Linked DNA regions of Oreochromis niloticus. The protein of the gene in region 1 purifies or fractionates together with the protein of each later gene. This does not show direct contact. Links are inferred from orthologs where the notes say so. Each region holds a gene or a part of one and is shown on either strand. Other genes may lie near its edges. The genes, in order: ret and stat3.

Region 1 (16,162 bases):
AAGTTTAGAGTTTTAATGGCTTCATTATGCAGACAGTTAGTGATGTTCTGAAATGCTAATATGTTAATATAAACCTACAGTGTGACTATAGTTAAAGATTATGTGACAGATGTTTTCCTGTCTCACTGTAAATGCACAGCTGCCCTACTTTAATGATAAATGCTGTTAGAAAGTAGGAAGGCCCTTTTGTTCTTCAGACCTGAGTCTCAGATGGTGACAGTGGCACTTATAACCATTTGGGTTGTGGGAAGGTAACATGAAAAAGTGGCCACATTGCTCAATTCCCCGTGGGCGGTTTGCTCTGAGCCCTTCAGTCAGCGAGTCTTAGACGACACGCCAGGTGTCCGCTGGCTTCCTCTGTGTTGGTCCGTGCTAATGTTCTCAGCTGAAACATATTCATCATCACCAAATTAATCAGAGGGTGCGGATGACTAACACCCCACATCTGGCTCGATGGGATAGGAGAAACGTGACCGCCATGTCAGGGACGTGGCATCGACAGCCACATCCCAGGCCTATTTGGTTACCCAAGGGCAAGTACGCGGACACACCGGGTGTTGGTGTTTATGTGGTATTTCTCATTAAAGAGATGAGTGAATAGGCTGTGAGGTCTGTACTTATTTCTGCCTCTTTTTTTCACAGGCGGGGAAAATTCTAATTTTCTACAAAAAGATGAATATCCACATCCTGTGCCGATTCCTAGTGTGGACCGTCATCCTGGTACGTGGAGGTTTTAAACAGAGCTGCTGTAGGAAATGAATATAAAGTCAGTTGTTAATTTAAAACCAAGACACCCAATAACTGTCCTGCTCCTGTGATTCACTCAGAGCCGAGCACTTTTATGGTCTCAGTGTTTCACTTCACCTTGCAGGTGAATTCTGCAACGTGTTTTCCAGCCTCTTGGGTATTAGTCATACTGTAGCTTGCTGAAGTCATTCATTAGCAGGACTTAGCAGAGGACATGTGTGTGATCTCAGTACAATTAAACAACATCCATGTGTGGCTGTGTTTCCGGGCAGACATGGGTATCCGGCCCCTCGGGGGAATACACGCTGCGTCTCATTGCCTCTCTGTGCTTTACATGTGGTTTTAGATTGGAAGAGTTATGCATATTACTTAACGTCTGCTGCAAGCATAAAAGCATCTACTCTAAGAGTATGATCAATTTAGGAAGCTGCAAGCGAGGTCTCAACAAGCAAACCAAACACATGGCAGCTTTAAGAAAGGAATTATTAAAGTGTATTCAAACCTAGGATAAAAAGGTAATGCCTGTCTGAAAAGCTTTTAAGGTCATATTTGTTTGAGATTTATGCTCATTCTGGGTGGTCTTAAAACACAAAAAGAGCCAGGCTGGCCTCCATTTCATTTAGAGGGGGAATGCGTCCCCCAGGGAGAAGCCAAGTGTTACAGGAGATGGCTTGTTTTGCATTTCTAAACCTGTGACAGGAGGCTGCTAGTCTGCTCTAGCAAGACTGACAGACAGACACGTAGGAAGGCTAGTCTCCGCTGAACTGTGCTTGCCACTGTTTTTATGTACGTGCAGCGTGATGCTCCAGAGATATAGCTCATTTGTGAAACGGGGTTAGGAGGAGCCTGCGTGCTGTGGAGGCAGACATCCTGAACCGGCAGCCCTGTGACCTGGAGCGATGATAGAGCTGGAAGAGCTGGCTGCATCACACAGCCTTTGAAATCAAGCTGCGCAGGACGGAAAAACTGTGCAGAGAAAGAAAAAACACACAGAAGCAGGGAAAGACTTGTCTGAAGTTATGTAGTTCCAGTATATTTGGGTGCCTTTTCTGTCCAGCTTTGGGTATCAGGTTCCTTCAGAGTGTTATGTGTATGACTGCAAGACGTTTATTTATTTATTTGACACATGAGTTGAAACAGCATTGAAGGTTCTCGTGTTAAGGATATAGTTTATTTTATTTACTATTATGTCATAAGGTTTTTCAAGTGAAATCTGTTTATTTTTGTAGTCTAATATGTCCAAAACAATATCTCAGTGAAGTTTTAAAGGTCTGTAGCAGCAGCGTTTTTCCATCCAGGCTGTATTTTCCAAAAAGACAGTAGGAAGAGGAAAAAAGTCTCCCGTGTAAGAAACTCAGCGACAGAGTCCTGCTCGTATATGTGAGAATCAATTGAAATTCTGTTGCGAGAATTTAACGTCGTTAACCTCACTTCTTAAAGGACAAAGCTCCATTATGTCTCCAGGTGTTGAATCTTATTGACTATCATTGTGCGTTGAGTGGCTGGAGGGAGGTGACATAAATTAGATCCATTTAGCTTCTCCCAGCGGCGCACAGTGACAAAGTAGCTCATGCTGTCATAAATAAACATTAGGCTTTAATGTTTTTTCCACTGTATCTCATTGTTTACCAGCTGATAGATGCTGCGGATGCTACTCAAGATTACGATGTTGGAGGTGAGATATTCTGGATCTTACAGTATTTAGATGTGGATCAACAGAGTAGCTTAAATCCTGGTTAGCTGAAATAGAAAAATGCAATAAAATAGATTTTCTCACATTGCATCGGCTGGCAGTGAGAGCAGACCATCGCTATTGATTTTAGGAACGGACACAGGAATAAAGAATCAGCGCAGCATATATTTGTTTCACCATTTCTGCACGTGTATATTTGATTTGATTATTTTAATCTCAGTGGTTAAGTCTATTTTTGGTCGTATGTCTTACCAACACAGAAAGCAAAATTAGTTTTAGCGATTGGCCTGCTCTTGATATTGACTTTTCTAATAAGATTTCGGCTCAAAGGGGGAGGCAGGAAGCAGAGCCGAGCTGCCTTTTGTTTCAGACATGTGCTCTTAACATTAGCAGGTTTCCTCAGAGGAGGAGAAAACTTATTACTGCACGCACCCGACAAGAGGGTCGGCGTTAAGCACAGGAAAACCAGAAAGTGTGGATACAGTAAACATCAGGCCATGGTTTATTGTTTTGTGATCTCTGTGGCAGGCTGATATTCACAGGCAGCCATGCATCTTCCTCATAATAAACAGCAGCCCCTGTTAATTAAAGTCCAACGATCAGGCTCCAGAAGTGAGAGATTGAAATTGAGCGATTGCCCCACATACCAGCCCCATCCCACATCCTGCTGCCTGGATAGCCTGGAGACTCAATCCAGCCCCAGCTAGGCTATTTCCACACCATCGATTCTGTCATCTATACACATGATGGATATCCACCTAACGAGCATGTTTGGATCCTGATCCGCTGTCCTGGGTTTCTCTGTGCAGCACAAAATCTTTCTTCATGTATCTAAATCATACAGGGAGGGTGGGGGATAGTTAAGACTATAAAAGTGCTTACTGATGTAGAGTTGAGCAGATCATCATGAGTAAATATGAACATGGAGTCAGTTGGGCCTCAGTGTGTTGGACTTTGTAGATGCCTCTCGGTGGTGTTTTACTGTAGTGACGAACCCACATTTGAATGTCTTTCAGCTCATTGTTTTGGTGTGTTTGCAGTCCTGTCTAGTGTTTTGTGTGTGTGTATAAGTTAATGGACCGTGTCCACGTAACTCTCTGATTGTCGGTTGATCTGCTGGACTCTGCTTGATACTGTTGCCTCACGTTTTAGCAGCCCAATACAGATTGCTTTATCGCCCTCCATCGATTTGAAATCTGTTTCATTTCCACCCTCAGGGAATCTCTGCAGCCATCCTTTCTAAGTGCACGCGAGACGGAGGATTTATACCTGTCAATAAAAACCTTTGGTAAGTGCTTCCTGACCCTCTAAATCCAGCCACTTTTCCTCACAAAAAAAGAAAGGATGGGATTTCCAACAGACACAAATCAAGGCTGCTAAAACACGCGTTTACTTACCTCTAACGACAGCTACGGCTGTAAATAATCACCCGGGCTGTTGGCAGTGTGAGGTGTTGCCGTTATACATCCTCCCAACATGATCACTCTTCCTTACGGCCAGCGAAATAAAGAATGCTTCATCCTCCCCCAGAAGCACTCACTCACCGTTTTACCAGCTCTGTGTGATGGAAAGAGCTCAGACTCTGGGAAATGTAACTGTATAACCACAACACAGTCTTAACTGCTCCCAAACTATTAGAAGCCTTTTTAAAAAAACAAGGCACAGCACTTTCCTAAACGTTTGTAATGATTTTGCATGAAATGTGACACAGTTACCACCTCACGGTTACTTTATGACTCGTGCGTTTGTTTCCACTCCTACATTTCCCTTTATATGTGATGTGAAGCATTCAAATGTTGTAGCAGGAAGAACGCCATTTCATCTGTGATGTGTAAGCAAATTCCTCATGATGTTCCACATGGGGCATCACTTGCCATTACCTACCTGGCTTTTATAGGCAGTTCATCATGCACAGGTTATTGAGCTCCTGGGTACAAGTCCTTGCCGGGATGTCTAGAAGTAATTAACTCCAAGCTAAGAGTCCTTTTTGGCTCGACTTCAGCTGAGATAAAGAAATAAAAAATAAATGCAGGGAGGCTCTAGAAAGGAGCCATTTTACATGAGATAATATTTCATCGTGCATTCTTGCACTTAGGAACAGACAGAGACGTGGTTAGCTGGCACAGCTCCATGAGGCACATGCCAAGGATCCATATGCTGATGCTATAGACAAGTCCAGCAAACTGCCTCACAGTTTGTAGGACAGACTCTGGGTGTTATTTATCTGCAGCAGATTGATGGACTGAGTGTGTTTACACTGTTTTTCGCACCATTCTGCCCAGATTTTAGTGATGCCTAAATGTGCCGAATAAAATGTTGCTGTTGTTGTAAAGTGTTGCCGATGGTTTGTTTCTTCAGGTCGTTGTCCTATGTCATGTGTATGGGCTGTTTGTCTTTCCTGCTGCTGGGAGGCATGTTCTTTGTCGTCGATATCAAGGGCTGGTGGGGTGGACAGCCATTCATATACCCAGGTATGTTTATTCTTGTACTGACAGGCTGCTTTATAAAGGTGATTGTGCTTTGGTTGGAATAAAAACCTCACAAACGCTGGAACGTTATTTAAAATATTGACCACAATGACAATTGTGTTTGGCAGCTCATTAGCTGATCATGCAAAAACAAACATTTTTCCTAATATAACAAATGTCCTGAAAGCCTTTGTAGGGATTGTAGTCTAGGTTTTGGACTTGTGGTCCTCAGTCTTTTCTTCCAGTAATTTTTTGCATTATTGGCCAGACTCCCAGAGAAGAGTTTCAACTGATTAGCTCATTTGGAAAGCTTTTTGGAAAGCATCCCTGCAATAAAGCCTTTACTTTTTGCACATAACTTTAGTCATTCAGCTAAAGTTATGTGCAGAGCAGGGAAAAATCCTTTAAATTGTATAAATCCTGTTCAATAACTTGTCTTTTTTCCACCCCTCTTCCACAGGGATGAACTCCATCTTTGTGTATGTTGGCCACTCTCTCCTGGGCTTCTACTTCCCTTTCAGCTGGGAAATGCGCTTCCAGCAGAGCCACTGGGAGTGGCTCTTTCAAAGCCTGTGGGGGACTGCACTGTGGCTGCTCATCGCCTACCTGCTCTACAGGAAGAAATTCTTTCTCAAAATATAATCCATCCCACTTCTGTAGATTGTATTATTTTATATTTTCATTTAAAGGCAGCCTCTAAAACTAATTTTAAACTTTTTTGTATTTTACTTTACTAGAGTATATTATAATCCTTATTTATGTTATACTGCAATTTAGTACAACCCTTCAATTGATCCTTCCTTTAACTTTCTCCTGATTGGCTGCTCTTTGTAAATAGTAGGTGTGGACAGCTGGTGGGCGGAGCTTCCGTGCTCACAGCCAGAGCTGTGTGTGTCTCTCTGACATCATGCAGACCTGATAATGGAGAAAAACTATCAGAAGCTCAGAAACATTAGGAGCAGTCTGAAGCCTGGGCTTTTGGCTCAGGGATGACGTGTATGTATGTTGACCTAATATAATATGAGCTACTAAAATTATTATGTTTTTCTTTTTAAAAGCACTCTTCTCTGTAAATTATAGAGTATTAGAGCATCTGTGGGAGTTTAAAAGAGTTTTTAAAATGACCTGCTGGTCTAGGCTTAATTAGTTTAGTTTGCTTTTCATAGATGCAAACTTACCAGACACATGTTTTTTATCAAAAGCAAGAAGCAGAGCAGTGTAAAAAATGTGAAAACGCTTATCGGTGAAACCCATTAAAGCACTGTCCTGTTTCTAAAGAACTGTCAGTGTGGGCAGCTAAGGATTCGTTTGATAACACTTGTTTTATGCTCAGAATAGACTGATTAAATTAAATATATTGAGGTGGTACTTAACAAATTAGGCCAAGTGATTCCACTACACACCAGGACAACCATTATGAGTCTGTTGCCATGGCCACTCCTCCTGTGTGCATGTGTGTCTCTGTGTGTACCATCTGCTGTCCAAGTCACAGTACTATAATTGGGGTCAAGATGCACACAGAGGGGTGTCATTAATGGGGCCATCACCTTTTGCACTTATTTCATTAGAAAAATCAGGGAAATTACACAAATCCATTTCATCAGACGAGCCCCTCTCAGAGACCCCGAGCCCTTTACATGTGTTCTAGTTTGCACATTTCACACTCCTAGCCTCTTACTTAGTGAAACAGGGTTCATTCTCAGTAATAGATCAGAATATTTCCTCATGACTGATAAGCAGGTTGAATGATTTATATCTGTATGTATAATGTATATGTGCCATTATTGAACGCACTCAGGTCAGTGTCCCTCAGCATCAGGTCAGGTGGTGTGCATCATGAAATGACCATCTAGTTAATGAAATGAAACGGCATCAAGCTCCTCTTCCTGAGTGAAATCCTATTACACACTCTCCAGAAGCAGTAATAACACTGTGTAATATGGTGTAGGGGTTTTTGGTAATTGTCTTATGAGCACAAGTTATTTGAATCCCAGAAGGTGCATCTAGCCTTCCTGAACAAGACTCAAATCCTTAATTGCTTTCCAAACTATGGTGCCAGCAATGGAAATGCACTGCTGATTGGTCGAGAGATGAAAATGAAATCGATATACACTCACCACACAGGTCTAAAGATATCTTTTGTGTTTTGCATGCCATGAGAAAGCTTTGTGTTTTAATAGAAGCATTTAGCTGACTCATTCGGAGTAACATCACGAGGAGGTTAAAACCTATTACGTATCAAAAGCTGCTGCTAATAAAGATCAAAAGAGTCAAAACAAGAATCTATGCTGCCTTCTTTTTAGCCCAGAGCATTTTTGTAACTTGCTTAAAGCACATACAAAACCAATGTGGTTGCAGATGCCATGTCCACACCACCGTATTTCCTTCTCTTTATTGATTCTCATTGAGCATACGTCTCAGGATACCTATAGTCTGTCATATGGAAACATTATCCCAGATACAATACAATGTGCTCAGGCAGACTTCTTGGCTTCTTATATCACATAATGCCCCTTGGTACACCAAGTAGCATTACATTTGAGTAAACTGCTTATCATGTTATTCAATTCAATGTTATTTTATTTATATATTGCCAAATCACAATAACAGTTGCCTCAATGTGCTTTATGTTGCATGATAAAGACCCTGCAATAATGCAGAGAAAACCCCAACAATCATATGACCTCCTTTAAGCAAGCGCTTTGGAAACAGTAGGATGGAAAAACTTCCCTCTAACAGGAAGAAACCTCCAGCAGAACCAGGTTCATGGTGATGCAGGCGTCTGTTGTGACCAGATAGAGGTGAGTGGAGGAAGACGAGACAAAGACGTGCCATGTAAGAGAGCCAGAGATGAATAATAACTCATGATTACGTGCAGCGAGGTGTATAAAAACATAGTGAGTGAAAAAGAAACATTCAGTGCGTGGTTGGATTCAACGTCACCTGATCCAGCCCAAACTATATGCTTGATTACAAAACAAAGTATTAACAATAACACCAATTTCACAGGTTATACTTAAAGTTGATAGACTTTTACAATAGTACTTTACTTTTTACAGTTAAAACATGTCTAAGACCACTAAAGTAGATGTGGTTGGTTTTAACAACAGAGTCCAGAGCCATCTAGATGTAAGAATTAAAACTGCTCAAAGGTACAGAAGCATACAACCTATCTAGCTTTGTTAAAATGTCATCTCTTTCTTTACAGCTTCACAGCTAATTTTCTCCTTTAACCTCGCAGTGATCACTAATTTAAGGGCATATTGTTTTTAAAGTCTTCTTGATACCAAGAGGCTGACGGCTCGAGGGAGGTGAAAATGTAAGCACTGTAAGTAGCAGCTATTATATTTTATCCCAGTTGGTGAAAGTTAGTGAAGCTTCTGAGAAAGCCCCCTTTATCTTCTGTAGCCCAGTGAGCCTCAGTGTTTTTGCTCCATGCAGAGACATTGATTGGAAAGACACTGCTGAGAGAGTGACTGGTGTCCTGGCCCGAGGCTGCAGCAATGCATCACTCCACGCTATCTCCACACTGTTCAGTCACACAGAGATCCCGCTCTTTAACACACCCTCAGCTTCTGACATACACACACACTCAGACCTGAGAGAGGAAAGGTCCCACATCATTTAACCCCCTGATTTCATTCTGGGACTTTAACCCAAAGACTGCAGAGGACTTCTACTCAGCTGGGGAGTGTTAATTATCCACATGGAGTACTTGGATGCAATAAAATGTCTAGGCAAAAAAAAACCCAACAACAACAACTTAGCCCTGTCACTTCATTGGCAGGAGTTTCACTTAATTCTTGCCACCAACTGGAACATTGTGCTCAAAGTCTCCTTTTATTCAACCGAATTAAACAAACGAATTCATCGAAGCTACTTCAAGCTTAGCAAAATTAAACAAAAAGCCACATTTACAATTATCACACGGCTGTTATAATGAAGCGGTTATTAAAACGAGCACACCTGATGCCCACCTTTAAAGAGCGCCTGTGCCTTTAAAGTGAACCATTACGCGCCCAGTCATAATTGTTAATAATTACGCCCCTCCACCTCCCCCGCGCAGAGCCTTAATGAGATGACTGACCTGCTGTTAAATTATGCTCTTAAATTTCCTGTAGATGCTATGCCGCCCTGCTTCTGCGGAAGCAGCGGGGCAGTGAGTAGTGAAGCAGTGAACCTCCTCCCCCCACCAGACCAGCCAGTCAGCCCAGCAGCAGCCTCTGTAGCCTCAACACAGCAGCCCGTCTATGGGACACTGAGGACTTCATCTGGACGCAGAGCGCGCACTGGTTTATACCCCCATCTTTGTATATTTTATCGGTTTGATTATTGTTCTTGTTATTATTATTATTATTATTATTTAATTTTCGCCCAGAGGAACTTTTTTGGATCGTCTTTTCATTCAGAAACTTTCACCTATGGTTCGCGAATATGGGGTCAAGTTGTGGTTTCTCTCGGGGAAACATCGTTGCGCTGTTTCTGCTGCTGGTGCTGGAAGGTAAGGTTCATCATCAGTTCTCCTGTCACTGGAAAAGGGCGAAGGAGCGCACGATGAAGTTGCAAACTAATGCTAAATGTTGCACTAGTGTGTTCGAACGTTTTTGAAAACAAAATAAATGCTCTGGTCTTAACTATTAATCCAGAGGAGACGATTTAATGTTCGCTTCTTATTTTAAACGCGTTCATCCTTAGTATTATAAATTATTCAGACAGCATTAGCTTTAGTCTTTGAGTTTTTATCTCCATCTCTTACTGACCTTTCTGCCGGAGAGACCGTTTAGCGCAGAAGGAATTAAAATATGTTTATTTAAAAATTATATTTAGTATCTGCAAAGCTGGCCAAGGTGAAGAGAAATAGGTGCTGCCACAGAGCGAGCCAGTGAACATGAAGTCTAGATTGCAACTGACAAATACACAGGGCTGCTCAAGTGAAAAGCTAAATTGCAGCGTTTTGGAAGCTGAGTGATTTTTAAGGCCTTTTTTCCCCCTACGAAGTATCTGAAAGGGCACGAACACAACGCCAGCACTGTGCCACACAGCAGAAAAGTGATCCTTGCATTGTGCGCTGGCTATGCGTGGCATGACAACAATGAAACGAAGAGTAGAATGAATGCAGCCATATATCATAATATTATAATCCCGTCCACAATCCCACAGCCCAACTGCACTAACACTGCCCTCTCATGAAGTCTATATTTAAAGTGTCCCTCATAGGTCAGGACTGTGCCGCCAGTATGTCAGATGTAATGCTCGAACAAATACGGTTTTTTTGGACTTCAGAGGTTACTATCAGTGCTTGTATATAGGGAGGCAAACAAGCATTATGATCAAAGTCTTTGAGTGTATCTGGGATGTATAAAAAGATGTTCGTTTCTACGTGAATGGAGCACTGCTGTTTCTTTCCTGCAATAAACTACAGGCCTACTTAATCACCCAGGGGAGCAGTTTTCTGCAGAGTAGTTAAAAAGATTAATGCAACTGTTAAGGTAGAACACTTTTATGCAGTGTCCTCTGATTATTTTTTCACTGTTACACACACTGTTTAATCAGTCCATAGTCCACACACAGTCAGTCACGCGCATGCTGTTCTTACAGACCTTACATGCATCCACATGGCTTTTCCTGCTGGGCTCTGCTTGCACAGTCACCAAAGCAGGCGTTTCTCCTGATATTTATAGAAGAAAAGGGCTGGTGTCGTTGCACTTCATGTGTCAAGGACGTGTTGGTAATTAAATGGGTGCTGAAAGCTGCACCCTACGTGAATGTGGCGCCCATCACCTGCCTGTTTGTTGCAACAAAAGACCTACACTTGTTCAGGGAGGAGAAGAGGCGAGCCATGGGCAGGTGTGCAGCAGCTGCTCCTATCTCTGGGCAAACACTGGCTGTTTGTTTTCTTCAGGAAAATATCGCATGTTATGCAAGCGGACGGGCCGCTTGGGCTGCTGCCGGGCTTGCCACAAAGTGACATAGTCGGATTTTACCAGATCGATGATTGTTTTTATTTTACCCCACTTTGTGAGGATGTTCTGCCTGTTGTGACTCCTTTAAAACATCTTAAATCACTAAATGGTTTTTACATATGAGTCATTTTCCAAGTAAATGAATCATGTTGTGATGCACTTTTTGCATCACATTACGTCTAATGTGGATTTTTATTGCTGTTTGAGTCACTGATTGAATCTAAAGAATATTTATGCTTTAAATTTCAGTGGTACTACTTTGGTAAGCTCTCTGCAGTTTTACCAGAAGGTGGTAGACGGTTTTGTGGTCTGGTGTGAACTGATCCATCTCCAGCTTAGCATTGAGAAAGGAGTTAGCAGTGGCCTTGAAAAGATCCAGGACTCCTATCTTTCCTGTATATTATATGAGGGATGGTGGAAATGAGGAGGGCAAATAACTGGGATAAAATGAAACTCTCTGTCCTGCTGAGGCCCTTTTCCTTTTATTGTATGTGATACCATGATTTAGATATTTTTGGGAGTTCAAACTCATAAGTCTCCCTCATTGCAGAGGAAGATATTGCCAAAATTTATCTTCAATACGGACAATATGTCCTACCCTGCACACTGTTCTGCTAGCCAGACAAAGACTAACTAAATGCGCCACTGGATGCCATAGGAGGTCTTTCCTTCCCATGATCGTCTACTCATGAAGTTCCACATAAATATACATATGCATTTGTCAATTTAGTTTAACTTTAGTTTTTCTGATCTTCAATTTAGTTGTACGAATGGCACAGTCATGAATGGCTATTACAAAGGAATTTCCCGGTGGGGTTTATATAACTCCTGCTCCAGGTTCCAGTTTACTGATTAGTTTAGTGTTTCTCGCTGAGATCATCAAACAAAGGAAATTGGCAATCAGTGCTCACTTTTGTAGCAATCAGCATTTTTAAATGTTCCTGAGACATTGCCCTGCACTTAAGACCAAAGTAAAGTAGTTCAAGACATAAGCTGGAGTGAACTGGGAGCTGGGACGCCTCTATTCATTGTTCTTTATGAGGATTCCCATTAGCTGCCACTAAGGCTGCAGCTGCTCTTCTGTCTCTGTGCGTACGTTGTCAGGGATCGTGCAGTCACATGCACTTCTGTGTGAACATTTTAAGCAGTTGTTTAGAAAAAAGGCCAAAGAAAGTTATATCCGGCTCGTCGTGACTTTGTTTTTATTTACATTTTGAGGAAATCTGGAGAGCTTACTGAAACAACCCTTTATTAATTAGATTAGGCCTTCAGTATCAGCTGGCAGCTTTATAAACAAAGTGTTTGGAGGTGAAAATACATTTTGTGACGAAACCTGGTCAAAGCCAAAATCCACTCCCCCTTTTTAACACACACATTTGTGTAATCTCTTACACAAAAAAGTGCCACAGATGTTTTCACGTAAAAGCATTGATCTGTTTTGTTTCCACCGTGACCTTGTTACGGTATCTCTGACCCTTCCTCGCCCTCTGACCGGTGAAACCATAACATAGTGGTATAGTGCTCCTTCTTCTCTTTAACTCAAAGCGATCATTTTCATCAGCATCTTTTCCTCTGGAGAAGTACCAGACCAACAGATCTCATTTGATACGTGGTGCTATTGGATTTAGCCCCTTACAGCATGATATAATTAAGTAAAGCTTCTGTCTTGTGTTCCTCATGGATGCATGATAAATATTGTCAATTTTCCACGCTTGTTGTCACTGTGTTTATTTGAGTGTGAGTGGGAAATATCATAATGCAAGTAGATTAGATCTTTTTTACTGAGCTACATCAACAGGAGTGCTTTTCTTTTTTGCATCTTAGAAAAAAAATATTGTGATTCTTAAAGCTGGCTATAGCAAAAAGTTCAAAATGTGGCATACAACAGACTACATTATTGTGATTTAAAACCAGAGCTAGCTGGCGTGTTCCCTCTTTTTTAAGCTCATGAGCGACAGTAAACATGCTGTCAGCCACAGACGCTCTGATACCTGTTGGAACAGCTGCAGCACTTTAGTAGAAAAGACAAAGAAGCCTAAAGCTCCCGATTTTCCCACTTCATGAGTCACAAAACTCTCATCCTTCGAGCTTCCCAGCCAAAGTGGACCTGCGGTTTTTGAAATAACTGTCACCCAAATCGCTACTACTGCCTTGAGACTCCTGAGAGTCCCGACCTCTAATCCTGGGCTGCCATTTCTGCCGTCGCACGGATGCCGCTCCTACCTGTCAAACCCCTGTGTCTGATCCTCTAGTCAGTTCAGGGTCACACTTCGCTCTCATGCATGGGTAGAATCTAATTTGCTGTGGTGAAAGGACAAGGAGACATTGATTGAAATTTTACCCTCGGGGCATTTAGTCCTCTGGTTTCACATGGGTCTTGACAAGTTGTTTTCCAGTCGTGCAGCAGTGCACATCGTGTTTGACCCGTCATTACAACAATAAGTAAAACAAAGTACAGGCCCTGCTTATCTGAGTCCACATGGTCTGTGTGACACTGCAGAAATCAATGGGAGTGACTCTACTGCCATACTGGTGCCAGAGTCAAATTTGCACATTTACTGCAATCTCTCTAAAGAGAGCAAACCATAATAGTGGAAAATGTCCTTAAATTAACATTTTCCATAAATGCTGCTGATTCATACTTATGTTGCTGTTTTCCCCCCATCCTCTTCCAGCTCCACTTTGGCATCCATTTGTTTGGTCCTTCTTTTTACTGAAATGGGTAAACATGCTGGAAATCTTTTTTCCGTCCTCTGCAACCACCTGCCAATGCCAGAAACTCTGAAAGCTCCACTTCCCTTTGTGCTGGTAGTTCAGCGATCTCTACTCCCTGGCATAAAGCAGCGACTCTCCCCTTGTTCCCATACTGCAATCCACCAGATTCACTCATGTTAGGACAGTTGTAACAAGCAGTCAGAGTCTAGCAGTGCGAATAGTGGCGACTCATCTTAGCAGTGCCATTTAATGACGCTGGTGCATTGATGATTCCCACAATTAGGACATCTTATAAATTAATGCACTTTTACTGTGTTTGCTTCCTTGAAACAACAAGACTGTTGATGCTTCCAATGCACAGTATGTGTAAGTGATACACGTGACTGTGTTCAGCCTTGTTAGTTTTTCTCTCACTGCAGTGTTGTTCTGTTGTTTTTTGCCTGCTCATTTTGCACCCGACTAAAATAATCTAACAATAATTTGATAGATCGCCTTGGAAATGTGTACAGACATTCATAGCTCCGAGAAAATGAATCCCGATGATCTTAATGATCCCATGATTATTATTTTTTTGGTTTGCTTTATTGAGCACAATAATTAGGTCAAGATTTTAATTTGTCCAGTAACTGCACAACTAATGACATTTTCATCAATCTCAGACCGTATTTAGCGCTGATTAGAAGATGTCCATCCATCCATCCATCCATTCGCTTCCGCTTATCCTTTTCAGGGTCGCGGGGGGTGCTGGAGCCTATCCCAGCTGTCATAGGGCGAGAGGCGGGGTACACCCTGGACAGGTCGCCAGTCTGTCGCAGGGCCAACACACAGGGACAGACAACCATTCACACTCACATTCACACCTAGTGGCAATTTGGATTATCCAATTAACCTATCCCCACAAGCTGCATGTCTTTGGACGGTGGGAGGAAGCCGGAGTACCCGGAGGGAACCCACGCAAACACGGGGAGAACATGCAAACTCCACACAGAAAGACCCCGGCCTGATGTTGGAATTGAACTCAGGACCTTCTTGCTGTGCGGCTGATTAGAAGATGTTACAATACAAATACTGGCATTGTCACCATGATGCAGCGTTACTGATGTTAGCATTCAGAGTACAGAGTAATGCTAAATGTAGATGCCACAGACCTGACTGATAAATACAGTCTCACAGAGCTGGTAGCATGAGTCTAGACTGCTTGGTGTAGTGCAATAAAAGGCTGTAAAGCAATTCTTTCCTAAATCTGGTACTTTAGGCTAAACCCTTTATGAAACCTGTGGCTGTGAGCTATTTATGCAAATATAAATAAGCTCTCTGTGTTTTGCCACAGGCATTTAGAGTATTTGCCTCCTTCTGTGTACATGTCAGTAAATCTGATGGCTTTTTACCACTGCTGTGGTGAGGGTAGATGATTTTATCAAAGCAGCCTAATGACTGTTTCATCAAACTCAGTCTGGAGCTCCATGATGTACCACGTGTTCAATTTTTGATGCCACAGTCATCCCCAGAGAAATCCTTAAACTGAATTTGTACTTGCAGCTAACCCCTAAGGAGAGGTCCTATTAGATTTCTTGATGACTGATGAACATGGTTCATTGGATCTCAGCTCTTGTATTCTCTGGGGAATAATTGGATTACATTATGTGGTAATTGATTATCATGTTACGGTATGCATCATGGTAAACTGAGTAATCTACCTGGAGCCCGGCTGCCTTTTCCAAACTCAGATCAGCTATCTTATTAATCGGATGAAAACTTTGATGACTGGGTCATTATGGCAGGAAATGACTTTCTTTCCTTATTACACGTGTTGTTTTGAAAGATCGAAAAACATCAGAGTCATGCCTATATTAAATCCAGGTTCTGAAACCAGTGTGATATGATGAAGCATTTGAGCATAATAGGGACAGGAAATAGAGGAGGGGGAAAGATTTCAAAACATTATGATCAATATTAGCTTTCATAAGTGGAATTATAGTTGAATGTGCAGCTTTTTAGCTAATTGAATCTCTGAAGAAAACCATTCCAGTAGCAGTCACATCTCTGGAAGCAGAGCAATCATGATAGGTTTCCGAGTGATTATTATTTATATCACCGTGATATAACTGGGTGAACTGCTCCTTAATGTGCCTGGCTACAGCTTCTTTGTAAAAGATGATGGATTCCTTGAAAATGTGGATATTGATGGGCTAAATTGTGGAGCAGGCTGTGAAATTACACTTGCACAGTAGAAGTAATATTTCAGTGTCCACGCACAAGATGCCTAAGCAACTCCAATATTATGTTCGGCGGACGTGATTGCACTTGTGCAGCTTTTCTCTCTGTCTGTGTCATCAGTGGAAAACAATCAGCATCACTGTTGATTAGTGTGGTTATTGATTGATATGCTGCCAGATACACTGCCTTTCCAATGGGTCGTTACCAGGGGCAGACGCAGACCACATTGACCTTGGGAGAAAAAGGGGCACGAAGCTGAGCTCTTACTGTTGGAGGTCCAGACTAAGAACGCAATTATAATGTCAAGTTATCACACAGCAGCAGCCGGGCAGGGTCACGTTTCCTCATCTGCCACGCTG
Region 2 (16,162 bases), on another chromosome or scaffold:
CGCTCTAACACACAAACCTTCTACTCTGCTTCTTGTCAGTCTTTCATTTTGCCTTTTTCAGTTCTCGGGGCGGCGGGGGGGGGCATACGGGTCAATGAGATCACTCATTGTGAAAGCTAAGTGCACAGCTGCAAGGACTGCTAAGGATCAGACAGCTGCTCCTGTGACTCACTGGAGAGGCCTTTCATCACACTGCCTCAAAAGGATTGGTGTTTGTCTGTTTTTCACTTGCGTAGGTGGATCAGGGTTATCTGTTTTATTGTGCATGGCCTGATTATATAAGAATAGTCAGGCTTGCTACATTTCCAAAGGCAACATCAGTTATCAATGAACTGCGTTGTTTTTTTAAATCTGACATTTTTCATAGGTTCAAGTAGGGAAGTAAAAAAAATCAAATGTTTGCAGTTAATCAAAGCAGAACAAAGCCACAAACACCTTTAGATTATGATTACACATACCGCAAACTGAAAGCTGCGCAACCACCTTCTAGACAAGTGCTGAGCAGAGAACACAGTCACTGTGTTGTGCATGTACAAAACTTCTGACTATTAATAATCTTGGCTTGACAAAATTATGCTAAAATCTTGTCAGCTACAGTATAAGTCAGCAAGAATGTTAAACACGGTGGGTTAGTAAGGGTCTTTTAGCAGATAGAGAGCGAGATGCCAGCGGCTTTAGTCAAAACGTCTGTTGTCTCAGTATAGTGCTAATTGAGGACACTGTTTCCTCTGTCCTTGGTAACAGACTGTATGAGTCAGACTAGTAACATTAAGCCTCTGACAATTAAAAAGTGCTGCTGTTGTCATGTAAACAGTTTTAATTAAATTTTATTTTTAGGCAAGTTTTCAACCTTGATTATAAATATTCTTGTTCAATTTTTCATTAAAAACCAATTTCCTCAAAGCCAGAGGGTTTGATCTCCCACAGGTTCTTAGTGTTTTAATCTTTTCCTGCTTCACTTTTCTGTTTCAACTGTTTTTCCATAATTGATTTAGCTGTTTACCGCCTTTTTCTTTTTCTAGGATTCACGCCATTCGTTGAGTAGAGCATACATACTCAGTCACTTTTCCCCTGGAGCTTGTTAGCAAATGCACACAGAAATACAGTGCTCACTTTTCCACAGCTATTAAGTGGAAGGAGTGAGGAAGGTAACACAGAGACGCAAATGGAATTACTATATTTGTCCTCAAGCTCTTAAGGGGCGTGTACACAGGAAGAGACAAACAGCAATGCTGCAACTGTTAAGGAAATCACTCAAAGTCCTGTACAAAAACTTTGCTGCAGTGGAGTGTTTCGTGTTGAGTGATTCACTTTTTATGTAAATCAGTGTTAATCTCTCAACTTGTAATCTCGCTCTTAAACCCAGACAGGTTGTATCACAGTTTCCATAGAGTGGGCTGTATCAGGTTTTCAGAATGTAAACAGTGAAACTTTCCCATGAGCCTAGAAAGGCTAATTGAAGATTTTATAAATGTGAAGTGCGACGCAGTACTCAGATTCATCATTATAATTTCTAACAGAGTTATACTTAGAGCTCACGTAAGCTTGTGACAAATAGATTTGTATATAGTATGTGTTTAAGTCATAGACTAGGTTTGAGGAATAGTCTTAAATACTGAAATGTTGATCTCTACACTCTAACATGTTACAACTAGACTTATAGGCTATATCGCAAAAAAGAGGCATCCATATAAAGGTTTTTTTTCTTTGTTTGTTATATATTTATGTTTAGGAACCACCTTTAAAAAGACAATCGTGGATTGCAGTGTTGGCCAAAATGTAATTGGTCAAGCTACACTCTCTAGTTTAAAAACAGCAGCTTTTACAGTGAATATTTAGGACAGAAAAAGACAAAAATGAATAAAAGAGAATAGAAAATGCTGAAGGAGCCAACCCTTCTCTTTGTGTAACATGCTTTTTTTCTCCATCAGTTTTAAGTAAAACGTTTGTCATTTTTCTCACAAAAGTATTCCGGCCAGTGATTTGATTTGCATTATATAGCTCTAGTGAGGTGTATTGTAACAATCAGGCTCTTTCACCATGTTATGTATGATTTCACCTGTTTCCTGCCAGGCACTGCTGTTTTCCATTGGCTCCACACTTTCTTTTCAAGCGCTCAGTATAGCTTCATGGGAAAAACTGTGAATAACAGTGTCTCTGTTTCTGTCGGCTTACATTACTCATACTTGCTCTCAGTTACGCCATTTTCATGCCTTTTCTTTGTGTTATGTCAAAAGCACAAAACACTAATAATATAATGTATATATTTGCACATAAAAGTTCTGCAGGAAAATTTAAGAAGGGGAGGAGGAGCTGATGTATACTTTCTAAGGTCACCTAAATAAATTAAATCAATTTAATTAAATGAGCACATTTAATTCTGTGTGTTGCTATCCTTAAGTGTGTATATAGAAGTGGTCTTAAATATGAGGTCACGTTCTACATCAACAAATGGGAAAGTGTTGCAGTATTATGTGTTTATGCATTCAAAAATATATTTAATTATCATCGCGTTACACAGCCCTGCTGTGCTCACTGAGCAAACCTGCAAAGCATTTGCAGTATATATTTTAGTTTAAGAACAATATGCTCAGCAACTGCTGAACACATGTCAATATATTGTTGTAGACATGTCAGCTGTTTGTCCAGCTAAACTTCACCACACTACCCACCAGAGACTGCATGAGGGGGTGGTTGCTATGGTGATAGATCGCTCTGTTTATCTGTTGCTGTGTGGGAGGGGAAGGGAGGGAGCTTCTTGGTGGTGCACTAGTCAGTAGCCAGAGAACAGTACATGGAATCCAGAGAGCGGGAAAGGCCAGCCTAAAATAAACCCACACAGAGTGGGTCGAGCAGGTCTATACTATATACAGTGCTGAATACGGTTGCAATGTCCATTTTATGATAGGATCGCGTGGCAGTATTTGAATGGTGCAGGGATATGTGCTACTGATGTGATCTGACAGGTGTTTGTCTTTTAGAAGTTAGGAATAAGACCCGATAATACAGGTCACTTAATATTTAGTGTTATACTAGTGATATTACAGTTGTTATATTACAGTAGGAAACTATTAATTATCAAAAAACTATAACTTTCTTAAATTTTGATGACCATGTGACAAGTAAAGGAACCAAAATACAATTTAGGGCCACACAAGAAAAAAAGCACCTGTGTTTGTAATGTGTTATTTCAGAATGGTGGTTTATGCTGGTAGCTAATGCTAATGCAGTGTACTTCAGCTTTTAAAGTCTTACTGACCCCTCAATGTACTTTAGATGTCACATTTATGCAGCATTTGTCTTATGTACTTCAAGCACTTTATCTAGATCACATCAGCAGTCAGTTTAGAATCAGTTTAGTATTAACTTGTTATGTGACGGCTGTGTGCAGGCAGGAAAAGGACCCAAAGTGCAGACTCCGGAGACAGACGTGAACTTAAAAAAACAGCTTTAATGCTGAACTCAAAGTAACAAACTTCCAAAGTACAAACATTAACACAGGCCAGAAACCAAAACACACAGCATGAGTGAGGGTAGATAAGAGTAGATCGCGACACAGACCAAAGAGAACACAGGGCTTAAATACACAGAGGGAACAATCAGGAAATGGGAGACAGGAGGGAAACACAGCTGGGGCAAATCAGGCCTAACGAAACAGGGGAAGCAAAACCAGACACATTAACATCAGACGTGGACCTTCAAAATAAAACAGGAAACATAACACAGACTGAACTACAGACACAGACTGACTGGACACAGGGAGACAGCAACTAGAAAACACAGAGACAAAAACCATAAGACATAACTCTAACAAAGAAACCAAAGACTAGAAATGATAAATAATATAATGAACTCAAAACCTCTGGGTCAACGACCCAGGCATCCTAACATAACTAAGGAAACCCCCACAGGTACAGGGAGAACATGCAAAAAGCAAGAAAGAACAATGAGTATTCTTGCTGTGAAATGACTGAAATGCTATTTACTCCACCATCAAGTTACCTAAATTGTCATTTAAAGCATAAAAGGGCAACTACTGCCTAGGCAGTATTCGCATTTAAGTTTATGCATTGTAATTATAGCAGCTTGTAATAACAGTGACTGACAAATTATTCCCACCTTATTGAAATGTTTCTTTTTACAATTTTCAAATAAAGATGTGTCGTCCCTCATAGTGGAGAAGATAAACAAACCTTTGCTACATGCGAGCAGCGCTGTATCTGTTTCATGTGAGTCCGTGTTCTGCTGGATAATTACTTGTCTGATTGTGGCTCTTTAGCGGACTGATATTGGACAAAACAGATATGAGGCCTTTTATGCCTCTTAAATTAACTTCAGATGTAAACACTCATTGTTATTTGAACCCTAGATGTCAGACTGTGAACATCCTAAATATTCCTAAATATCTATGTTTGTCTCATGAATAACTGATTTTTTTAATGTGTATCTACAAAGTCAGTGACTATAGTGATGGTGCACTGAGGTGTGGTTCAGCAGGGTGGGACGACTGATCCCTCTATCAGTAACTGACAGTTGGGGGAATCACATTTCTATCATAGTACTGCTCCTCCCTTTGTGGATATCTGGAATGACACTGACAGTGTCCTGCCAAACAACATGGAAATGTGGTCTACTTTGTTGACAGGTGTAAAATTAAAAATTTTAAAAAAAAACAGAAAACCTTCTCATAATGCTTTGATTTAAGGTTTTGTTTTTGTTTTTTTGTAACTTGTAGGAGGGTATTCAAATAGATGCACATCCAAGTGGTTTGACAGGGTGATACCTTCCTGTGTAGCTTTGCATAGAACAAATACAATGGTCCTCCTTCTGGCCTTACCTATACAGCAATTTCTGTCCATCTCTGAAACTGCTGCACTTTGCATTATGTGCTAAACCGAAACTATTCTAACCACTAAGTATTTCCAGTGAAATTTAACCACCAGTCTCTATTCTGCATTTTATTATCAACACTTTTCCCGACCAAACACAAGTTGAAATTGTCTACTGAGAGATTTAACTGAAGATTAATTCTTCAAAAGTGGGTTCAGACTTTTATATAGAAATGATATGTAAGTGGCAGGAAATAAACCTGTGGTTAGATGAACAAATTGTGAGCTTCAGTTTCATTATGACTAAAGTTGCAGATAATATACGGTTCCTTTCAAGTCCCATAGTTTTACTAGAGTTTAAAGACATACCATATAATAATTACTGTAAATATGCCAGGCTACATTCTTTTATTTTTCATAACTGAAAATTTAAAACCATTTTGTTTGCACAATAATCAGCATATAAGTGACACCACTAGATGGCACTCCACACCAGCTGCAAACAGTGACATGTTTACACTGACTACTTGATGATGCATGACTCTGCAGAGTTTCAGGCTGATATTTGCAATTCCAATGCACACCTTAAGCCCATTAGCTTAATTTTGTATAGGTGGTACATTTGAAAACATATTGAAACACATGCTATTTTTACATTAATCATATAATGCAATTATTGAAACATCATGTCCACTGAAATTTTTGTAAAAGTGGTTGAAAAGCTTGTTTAACTCAGTCTCGCTCACTCTGCTATGGTGGCTTAATGCTCTTCTCTCTTTCTTATCCTTCCTATTTTGTCCCTTAGGACCAAGTGAAGCCACCAAAGGCATCCAAATCCAAGACAGCAGAGGCAGTAGAAAGTAAAACAGCGGAGGGTCTTGAGCAAATCCCTGAAGAGGGACAGGAGGGACTCCGAGACAATCTTAATTCAGATGAAGAGGTGGTGATTGAAGAGGAGCTCATAGAGACTCGTACAAGGCGCCTCCAACGCACCACAAAAGAGCAAGTCGATAACATAAAGAAAGCCTTCTCCAAAGAGAAAATTGAGAAGACCAAACTAAAAACCAAGGAAAACTTGGAGAAGACCAAGCAGAGAACCCGTGAAAACTTGGAGAAGACAAGACAGAGAACCCGTGACAACCTGGAGAAAACCAAGCACAGTCTTGAGAAGAAGATCGGCAAGCTCGGGACCCGCATGACCCCCAACCAGGAGCGCAGGGCAAAGATAAAGAGTTCCAAAGAGAAGATGAAGAAGTCACTCACCCCTGACCACAAGATGTATGCTCGTTCCAAGACCTCCGTGTACCGCGTTCCCCCTTTTACCTTCCATGTTAAGAAGATCCGGGAAGGGGAGGAGGAGGTGGTGCTGAACACGGAGATGGTGGAAGTGAGCGAGGCCGAGGTTCAGCCAGAGGGAGAGGAGAACGGGATGGGTGTGCACGTGGAGGTGGAGGAAGGGGAGCTTGTCAGTGTAGACAGCCCTGAAATGGATACTCTGTTGGAGGTGACTGAAGACTCTGACCTGGTCAGGGTGGATACAGACCACCTAAAGAAAGCCCAAAGTGAATAGAGTCTCATAGCTCCACAGGGCTGTGAAAGCAATTATATAAAGATGAAGAAGGAAACAGAATATTGACGAATGAATATAATCACAAAGACACAGTAGGGACTTTATAGATGATTACAATCTATGACATCTTATTTGTTTTCTGTTCTCTTTGTATTCTTCCCAACAGGGATAACTTTCATATTTGTTCATATTTAGCACTCAAATAATGGAAAAAAAGACAAACCCGGAATTATGTTACAGGCTGACTGGATATGCTACACTTAGAAATTAGAGTATTTGTTGTTTGTTGTTGGTTTGATTAATTGTGTGGCTAAAAGAAAAACAAAAAAAAATATTGTGATTAAGAGACAATATTTAGTGTGGCATTCGCCTTAACAAATATGGGAAAATGAAGTTTTTGGCAAGGTTTTTGTTGTAATGGACGGGTGAAGTGATGTGAATGTGTAAAGAAAAATAAATGTAAAAGTTGTAGACGGATTCTTCTACAGAAGAATTAACAAGTGAAGAAAAGATCTGTTGCACTGGACTTACACTAAGGCGTTTAACTAAACTGTGCTCCATATTTCGTAAGATTACAAACATTTTCCCAAATGTTACAATACAGTGTTTCTCATTGTTAAGCACTTAAGTGTGAATGGCTGGAAATAGATGTGCAATTTCTATTAATATATACTAGGAACCATGAACCTGTGACAAATTCAACTATCACAATGTTTAAATGCATAACACCACACTAAAAAGCAAAATATACTGTTGTGTATGTGGGGCAGTAAAATTTTCAGCTCAATTTTCAGCTTTCATTCAAATTAAAAAAGGAAAAACTGAATGAAAACGTTAATAAGATTCGGAATGTAACTTTTGCTATAGTATAAACAGTGTTTAATGAGGATACAACGTTTGGCGTGTCTGAACACGTTCTCACTAAGCTGCACATATTGCACTGCTGCACAAAGGGGAGGAAAAAAAGATAGTATCGCCATGGTCACAGCTCATCACAGTACATTTTCATGCCCATTAAAATTTCTCAAAGTAATTACAGACAGAAAAAAAGATGGTCTAAAGAGATGTGAGATGACAGTTTAATGACTGCTGTATGTAATATGGAGAAGCTGAACTATTACAGGAACATCCAAAGCAAAAAACTATGAAAATCTGGTCGTAAATTATACAATTTGGTTGGCATATGATGGAGAAAACAGCCAAGCAGTAATGAATGTAAACTGGTATGGCAATGCGCAGTCAGTCTTCTGATTTTGTAAGGCCGAGCATATCGCTCTCCAGACAAAAACAAGGTGAATGTATGTCTTCCATTTTGCCTCCCTGGAGACTTGAATGACCTTGATGTGGTGCAGACACACACACAGAGGCCTACTGTGTAGCATCGACCACCATTAAAGTAATCAATGGGCGGGGAAATACAATTAAGGAGAGTGCTCGGTCAGAGAACTGCACAAACCAGAGAACATTGAGAAAGACAAAGGGGATATGTGTCTGCGTGTCTATGTGAGGGAGGGAGAGACTAATAAATGGTGACAGTATGCGCATGTCACGTACCCAAGCATGAAGCTGAAATCACACAAAACAATAAAGAAATCAGCTGTGGGCCTGTAAAATCACATGGGCATGTTAGTTTCATAGCATTAGCCTTTTGTTTATTTTATGTTATTTTTTGTAATTTTTTTTGGCAAAGACAACCTTTACTTTATCCATAATACTCGCTGGTTCCTTTAGAAGAAATGTGTGTTTTTGTCACCCTGTTTATTTTGTCTTGTTTTAAGCTGCTGGTTATTCAGAAAATGAGCTTCAACACTCCTGCAACCTTATGTGACATAATATTACTCTTGGTGTTACTGATTTATATTCAAATAATGACGCTTGACTGATTATGTTGTGTTTAAGGCTTTTTATGCCTAACAAATTCAATATAAATAAACGCCTTACTAAATAATATGTAGTGCCTGGCATCATTCTTACGAACCTGGCTGATAATGTTGTCTTGTTTGTCAGTTCATAAGTTTATTTGTGTTCCTTCACCTACCGTGACCAGAGGGTCGAATTATGACTAAAGGTAAATAATGAAGCGCTCTAGTGTTATTAAACTCTCGATGACGTCGGCACTGCCGGTAATTCAGATGACTTCTAGGCTGGCTGTTCCGTGAAAATGTTTGTCCCCCCTCCGGTGCTACCCAGCTTAAACGTCTACTCTGTGGCTTACCCGGGGGGAGGGTGTTCAGAGCAGAACAGCGCAGTTGCGACAGCGGTACAGCGGACCTCCTCAACCAACCTCAAGCTAGTGTCCCGCCTTCTTTGCTTATAAGCTGCATTGTGATTGGCGACAGCAGAGTTGCAGACCACTATTGGCGGCTGGAAATGTCAGTAAAATAGTTTAAGGAGTTTGGCTGGCTGGAAAGTCTGCAATGTAGGGGATGGGTTGACTGATAGATCCGTACTTGCGACGAAGAAGCGTTTCTCGTGTTGGGAAGAGAATATAAAGACTTACGGGGTTTTTTCGAGCGCTTTCCGTCGTTTTTGTGGGTAAAATCTTTACGAAAGTTGCCACTGACCGTTATCGTCAGTGTGTTTTATGAGAAGGGTTACTGTTTTGGCGGAGAAACTTTCTAAATAAGTGGCATCGAGCCAGGTAAGCAAATATAAATCGACTTCTGCTTTTGGTGTAAATTCTTTATTTTTAACGTAATGTTAATGCACGTCTACTTCTAATATCGATAACGCTGCTGGGGTACACTTGCAGTACTTTATAGGTTCTTAGTTATTCACGTTGGAGAAACCCCCTCTGCTCACAGTGATACATCATTTATTAAAGTGGTAATAACGTTTTTAAGTGTGTTACAGTTCTGCTCGTTTCTTGTAAAATGTATATTACAGACGTAATATTTAAGAGTTTTTGTGTTTGTGTGCTCTATTTTACTCGTCTACTCTCTAACGCCTCGTTTAATAATGGCAGTACATCTGATATGCTTTAAAAAGGGAAGGTGGGCTTTAACGGGATGCCCCTTTGGACCGAGGAAAATTCAGTTCAGTCCTTTCTGTTTTCTTTAAGCTGTCACGCCCATCACCATGCCATCAGTTGGACAGCACACCCACTACCTAGCCTTATGATTCAAGGCTTGCATTCAATAAATTAGGCTTTAATTGGGGACAGTGAGTTAGCAGATTATTAACTTTTGGAGAGTTTTGAATATGGACGCACATCATAATCAATCAGTATTTTATTTATTTATTTTTGCCTAATAACACATGTAGTTGTACTATTGTTTTCATCCACTGCCAGTGAAGGTTGACATGCTTACTGTTTCTCGTTGTTGTCTCAAGGAAGTGCTTCCTTGAATATCATAGGTATGAGTTTTAATGAATGGCACTTTGCTTTACCGTTTGTGCCACCTACTTCCGAGCATAGGGCAGTGGACAAGCTGGGTAGACAGGTTTATTTATGATAACTAATTCTGAGTTGTGGATTTTAATTTGAGAGCTTTAGATTTAGTTTTTAAAGCTCAGACATTGATAGAGGTGTGAAAAGAAAAGGAACACAAAATGTGTGAGACCTAAGCAAAATTTCTAAGTTATGCAACCAACAGATGGGTTGTTTAGACTTTATGGATTCCTTTCATCTGACATAAACAAGCTGCTGTTCTAAAGTTACTCTTGATTAAAAATACAACACAACTATTTCTGTAACAGTACACGTATAATTCTGCAGAGATCTCACAGAAGGGCTTAGTAAGTGTCAGAATAGTCCAGCCATTTCAGGAGAAACGGGATAAGTAGCTTACACAATAAACGTACAACTGTGCCTAAGGGTCATGGAGAACACTTGAAATACTGTTTTGTTTTTTAATTGAGCTGATAATGACTTGGCTATTCTTTGATTTGATTCTCCCAGGTCTTTTACATGCCCAGAAATCTACACCATGCATGAATGCATCTTTTTCATATGTTGTAGAAAGAGGAACATGGGTCTATGGGATATGGGACAGTTAGTTATGTGGCTTCACTGCTTAAAATAGCCACGCAATATTAGTGAGGGTATTAGTGGTTTTGTTTTTTGGGGTTTTTTACCGAAACTAGTGGCTTGCCTTGAACACTGATTTCAGTGAATGTTGGAAAATCCACTTTCTGTTGGTGTTTTAAAATGATGCTTTTGAGAAGGCATTATGTTACTTTGCACTCACCTCCATGTGTATGAATATGGAGCCTACATAGCGTTGATTTGAATAATGCTAATACCTAGACAGATGGAAATTCAGGTCCCGTGTTTTAACCTATTCAGATATGAACAGCACTATTTCAGTGGTATGCTTTCTGTCAGCAGAAGAAAATCTTTACATTTGGAAACAGAAAGTGAAGTTTTGTTTTTTGTCAAGTACATTTCTGTGTCAGCAGATACCAAGCATGAAAGCTTTGTTAAACGTCTCTGCCTATATTTTAAGTTGAACTTTAAGTGTATTAGAGAACACAGTATACACATTCAGTGGAAGGATGTTACTGCAACACTATCCAACATGTTATGTAAGGATTAAACAAAGGAAATGGCTTCCTTTTGGATTTATTGAATGTCTGGTTATTGTTAGTGTACAGTAGAAAATTCTTCAGGGAATGGTGTACCCTTTAGGTGAAAACATGAGAAGGCTAGCAGAACATCTCAAGTGGATCTGATGGAAAAGTTATAGTTACATAACCTAGATAAGAGTTATATCTGATATCAAGTGATTGAAAATAAATGAAAGACTATTACTCAAATTGCAAAGTACAGAAAGTGCAGTGAGATACCTTCGAGGCAAAGTTACCACCAAAGATCATTAACTCCTGTCTGCTCAGGGAGTCGACAGCTGTTCATGTTGGCCTAAATTTCTTGGTGGAGGCGTAGTGTTTCAGTGAACAGGAAGTGACTGTACTGAATAGGAAGCCTCTCATGGGCTTGTCATCGTTTTCAGAGAAAACTTGATATTTAGCTATTTCCCTACAGTTAGTTTTACTGATTCTATCAGGAACTGTGGCAGTATGTATTATCAGTTTGTATTTTTATAGAATTTTTGCAGAATTTATGTTGTCTCACTCATATTTTTTATGTAGGCCAAAGGAGGTGAGTGTCAAGATGGCCCAGTGGAACCAGTTACAGCAGCTGGAGACCAGGTACCTGGAGCAACTCTACCACTTGTACAGTGACAGCTTCCCCATGGAGTTACGACAGTTTCTTGCGCCTTGGATTGAGAGTCAAGACTGGTAAGAAATAATTACATTTCTAGGCTCTGTTGTGAAATTACATTTTAATTCATGTAATTTTCTCTCCCTTTGGATTTGGAGATGGCCACTCATTATGACTTCCAAAATGTTTTTTGGCTTTAACATTTTTTTTTTTTAATTTATTCATTATCACCCTCTTCTTTCCTTATAACACCACCACAGGAATCAGAGTACTCTGATACAATGTGTCAGTGTGCTTGTTAACCCGAGTACTCATTTTTGTGGCAAATGGGGATGATTTTGACCTTAATGTATGAGGAAAAATGAGAAATGAGCACATACTGATCACTTTACCTGTCGTTTACAAGGGCTTACGCTGCCAATAAGGAGTCACATGCTACACTGGTGTTCCACAACCTCTTGGGAGAAATAGATCAGCAGTACAGCCGTTTCCTGCAGGAGAACAATGTGCTCTACCAGCATAACCTACGCAGGATTAAACAGCATCTGCAGAGCAAGTACTTGGAGAAACCGATGGATATTGCTCGCATTGTTGCTCGCTGTTTGTGGGAAGAACAGAGGCTGCTGCAGACTGCCACCTCTGCTACACAGGTTGATACAGCAATATTGACCTAGCTTCAGACTTTATGATGTATAAAGTTAGTACAATGGCTCTACGTAGTATATCTTTTATCCTCTTGCAGGATGGCCAGGCAGCCCATCCCACTGGAACAGTAGTGACAGAGAAGCAGCAGATACTGGAGCACAATCTTCAAGACATCAGGAAGCGGGTGCAGGTTAGTTCCCATTAAAGAGTCACTTACTGTATATTTACGTAATTGGTCTTTCTTGGCATAAATGTATATACGTTATCACCCATTTCTCCACAGGATATGGAACAGAAGATGAAAATGCTTGAAAACTTGCAAGATGACTTTGATTTCAATTACAAGACCCTAAAAAGCCAAGGAGGTATAATTATCTTACTATATTTTTAATGTAATTTTCTTAGCTGTGCTGCGTGTATTAACAGCTAAAAGTTAATTTAATGGTGACCTGTTCACCTTCTTTCCAGAGTTGTCCCAGGATCTAAATGGAAATAGCCAGGCAGCTGCAACGAGGCAGAAGATGGCCCAGCTCGAGCAGATGCTGAGCGCCCTGGATCAGCTCAGGAGGGTGGGTTTTTAAACTTTATTGATTTTAAGCATGTATTATATCAAGTGCTTTAGGTAACATCTAGAAAACAAGGATATTCAAAACACATTATAATGCCTTATAAATGTAAACCTTTGTATCTGTACATTTCAGGGCGTGCAAAAATGTATAAAGAGGCATTTTAGGAAGTAATTAGATCGAAATGAAACAACACCTTTGGACTTACGCTGGCACACCCAGTTTAAGTTTGCTAGCTAGCACAAAAAGCGATAGATGTGGCATTGCGTCTGTGAAACCAAATGTCCATTAGTTTTGCATGCTGCACATATGTTGACCATTAAATTTTGCTAGACAGCAGTGTACTGCACAAGCAACTCCTGCTAGTTACATTCATCAATGGTGAAAATAGAAATTTGGCTAAAAAATGATAAATGCAAGATTGATAAACATCTAAATGTTTAGCTGAATGATAGTAAAGAATAATCTTAGTCTTAAACCTGAATATTAACACAGTCATTGTTTGAATCTTTAACAGTGGTACAAAGTTTGGACCACAGATGGATTATAGCTCTTTATGCCAATGTTTAATGTGTGCTGTGTTTGCTTTGTTATAGCAAATTGTTACGGAGATGGGAGGCTTGCTGACTGCCATGGACTACGTACAGAAGAATCTGACAGATGAAGAACTGGCTGACTGGAAGAGGAGACAGCAGATTGCTTGTATTGGAGGCCCTCCAAACATCTGTCTCGATCGCCTTGAAACTTGGTAAACAGTTCTGAGAACTTACCCCTTTTTTTTTTAATAAAAAAAGACTTAAAATTGGAAACTGGTACAGAGATTAATCATTGACTGTTTATTATTAGATATGTTCACAGTAGGTTTCGCATCATAAATGAATGATTCTGGCCAAGTGACTGTGGACTTTGGTCTCTGCTCTTCTTACTCCCTTCATATAGACATGTGTCTGATTTGCACTTTGTATTATTATTTTAATCAGGATTACGTCCTTGGCTGAGTCCCAGCTCCAAATTCGTCAGCAAATCAAGAAGCTGGAAGAGCTTCAACAGAAGGTGTCCTACAAAGGAGACCCCATCATTCAGCACCGGCCCGCACTTGAGGAGAAAATTGTGGACTTGTTCAGAAACCTAATGAAGAGGTACATTTGATGTTTATCTACTTATACAGATTTTTGTCTTAACTCGATCTGCATGGATTTAAGTCCATAGTCTCTCACAGTTTTTATATTGTAAATGTGAAATTTCAGAAAAATGTAAAATTACTGCTTAGGGGACTTATACCTTTAACACTGCTCATCATGTATTGATGTGATGCTTTTCTGCGTCATAGTGCTTTTGTGGTTGAAAGACAGCCTTGCATGCCCATGCATCCGGACAGACCTCTGGTTATCAAAACAGGCGTGCAGTTCACAAATAAAGTCAGGTGAGATTCAGGATTACAACACCAGATTGTACATTTTTACACTTGGGATTATACATTTTATTGAAACATTTTTTGTGTCCTGTATAACGGGAAGTGTAACAGTCATTTTAATAAGTGAATGAATTTGTTCTGTCTTGTCTCTTTTCTCAAATTTTTAAAGGTTACTGGTAAAGTTTCCTGAGCTCAATTACCAGCTGAAAATTAAAGTTTGCATTGATAAGTGAGTTTATTTATATATTTTTATCATCCAACATTTCTGTTAAGTTTTGACCACTAGGATAGAAAGACAAAACAAATTTACTGCTTTACTCATTGCATCTCTATTTTTCAGGGAATCTGGTGATGTGGCTGCAATTCGAGGGTAAGACTTTGAGAACAAACTTTCAAACCTCAGAGCATTTAATGTGTAGTATTTTAGAAAAGGTTCTTACTTCGTGCTCTACTATGATTTTATCAGATCACGAAAGTTTAACATCCTCGGTACTAACACAAAAGTTATGAACATGGAGGAGTCCAACAATGGTAGCCTGTCAGCAGAGTTTAAACACTTGGTGAGTCAAACGTCTTACCGGTTGAAAGCTATGAAGTAATCTGATAAAGGCCTTCTGTGGAGCACTGACTTCCTGTTTGTTGCAGACCCTGCGAGAACAAAGGTGTGGTAATGGTGGACGGACCAATAGCGATGTAAGTCCTACTTCTTGTTGGACTTGTGTAATGTAGTGAACAAACTGCTCGTTTCAGAATCTTAGCTGTATTTAGCATGTGAAAAATTCTGCTTTATCTGTAATTAACAGTCCTCTTTATCTTGTATACATATAGTTTTATAAAGAAATTTAAGTAGGTTGTTTTTTGTTTTCTAGGCCTCTCTGATTGTCACTGAGGAACTGCATCTTATCACATTTGAAACAGAGGTCTATCACCAGGGCCTGAAGATAGATCTGGAGGTGAGTACTGCCACTGTGTTTCATGAAATGGAACATATTTCTACTTTCACTATTAACCCAAGCAACACTAATAATCAACAAAATTCGAAACACTCCCGAACCATAATGCAGTTTTGTTATATGACACCCAATACAAAGTCAGTCACCAGACAAGTTAGTCATTTATGAAGTCGTCCGCCTCCAGTCACCTTCATCAACCCAGCTTCTACAGGGACTGATTCTGAAAACACAAAATTTCTTCTGTTTGCCCTTTTTCTGACCTGCCCACAGTTAATGGCAGGGTCACTGGCACTGAAAGTTTGCGCTGATTTTGATTTCTTAGAGAATCATATTATTTGAATTTGCAGATACTTTAACAATGCGTTAATTCTAATTTAAAATTAACTTTCAAGTCTTTTTTTTTTTTTTTTTTTTTTTTTTTTAATGAAAATGTGAGAAAATATATGAGAAACAACATAATGTATAAATAACATTTGAATGATGGGTGTTGTTTTTTTTGTTACACACACCATGTTTTTGCAGACCCATTCCCTGCCTGTGGTAGTTATATCAAACATCTGCCAGATGCCAAATGCCTGGGCTTCAATCCTGTGGTACAACATGCTCACTAACCACCCAAAGGTAAGACAGCACCCTCTGGTGGAAAGGGACTAAACTCTGCATGAGGTGGATCTTAACTCAATAGAGTTGAAGATCTGCTTGAGTAGAAAGTAGAAAATGTGTATATTTTCAAAACATTTTGCCTTGGGGGTTCTTTGCACAGAACGTGAACTTCTTCACCAAACCTCCAGTGGGGACATGGGACCAGGTGGCTGAGGTGTTGAGCTGGCAGTTCTCTTCCACCACCAAGCGAGGCCTGACCATTGAACAGCTCACCACATTGGCTGAGAAATTACTAGGTTAGATGACAAGCCCTAAAATATCCAAGACTGTTTAGTTTTTCACAATGCTTTATATTAATCTGATCTGATTTAAATCCTTAATTATCTATATAGGACCATGTGTCAACTACTCTGGATGC

The links.
Region 2: the proteins of ret (region 1) and stat3 purify together in Homo sapiens (affinity purification with western blotting; 3 studies listed by BioGRID and IntAct, with this or other methods). This does not show direct contact. The link is inferred for Oreochromis niloticus from reciprocal best matches to the Homo sapiens genes RET and STAT3.

Annotation. Positions count from the first base shown.
Region 1 is NC_031978.2:25,423,136-25,439,297, reverse strand, and holds the start of ret (proto-oncogene tyrosine-protein kinase receptor Ret), read left to right. Parts: upstream 1-9,019; 5' UTR 9,020-9,034; coding exon 9,035-9,409; intron 9,410-16,162. Other genes in the region: si:dkey-192p21.6 (heparan-alpha-glucosaminide N-acetyltransferase), read left to right, coding at 643-720, 3,658-3,728, 4,799-4,911, 5,369-5,550. UniProt on the Homo sapiens protein: Receptor tyrosine-protein kinase involved in numerous cellular mechanisms including cell proliferation, neuronal navigation, cell migration, and cell differentiation in response to glia cell line-derived growth family factors (GDNF, NRTN, ARTN, PSPN and GDF15).
Region 2 is NC_031969.2:26,409,947-26,426,108, forward strand, and holds the start of stat3 (signal transducer and activator of transcription 3), read left to right. Parts: upstream 1-8,793; 5' UTR 8,794-9,040; intron 9,041-11,490; 5' UTR 11,491-11,512; coding exon 11,513-11,640; intron 11,641-11,969; coding exon 11,970-12,213; intron 12,214-12,305; coding exon 12,306-12,398; intron 12,399-12,491; coding exon 12,492-12,573; intron 12,574-12,676; coding exon 12,677-12,777; intron 12,778-13,370; coding exon 13,371-13,522; intron 13,523-13,754; coding exon 13,755-13,913; intron 13,914-14,104; coding exon 14,105-14,197; intron 14,198-14,357; coding exon 14,358-14,417; intron 14,418-14,528; coding exon 14,529-14,558; intron 14,559-14,654; coding exon 14,655-14,748; intron 14,749-14,833; coding exon 14,834-14,881; intron 14,882-15,057; coding exon 15,058-15,141; intron 15,142-15,663; coding exon 15,664-15,762; intron 15,763-15,904; coding exon 15,905-16,040; intron 16,041-16,136; coding exon 16,137-16,162. Other genes in the region: cavin1a (caveolae-associated protein 1), read left to right, coding at 5,635-6,399. UniProt on the Homo sapiens protein: Signal transducer and transcription activator that mediates cellular responses to interleukins, KITLG/SCF, LEP and other growth factors. Once activated, recruits coactivators, such as NCOA1 or MED1, to the promoter region of the target gene.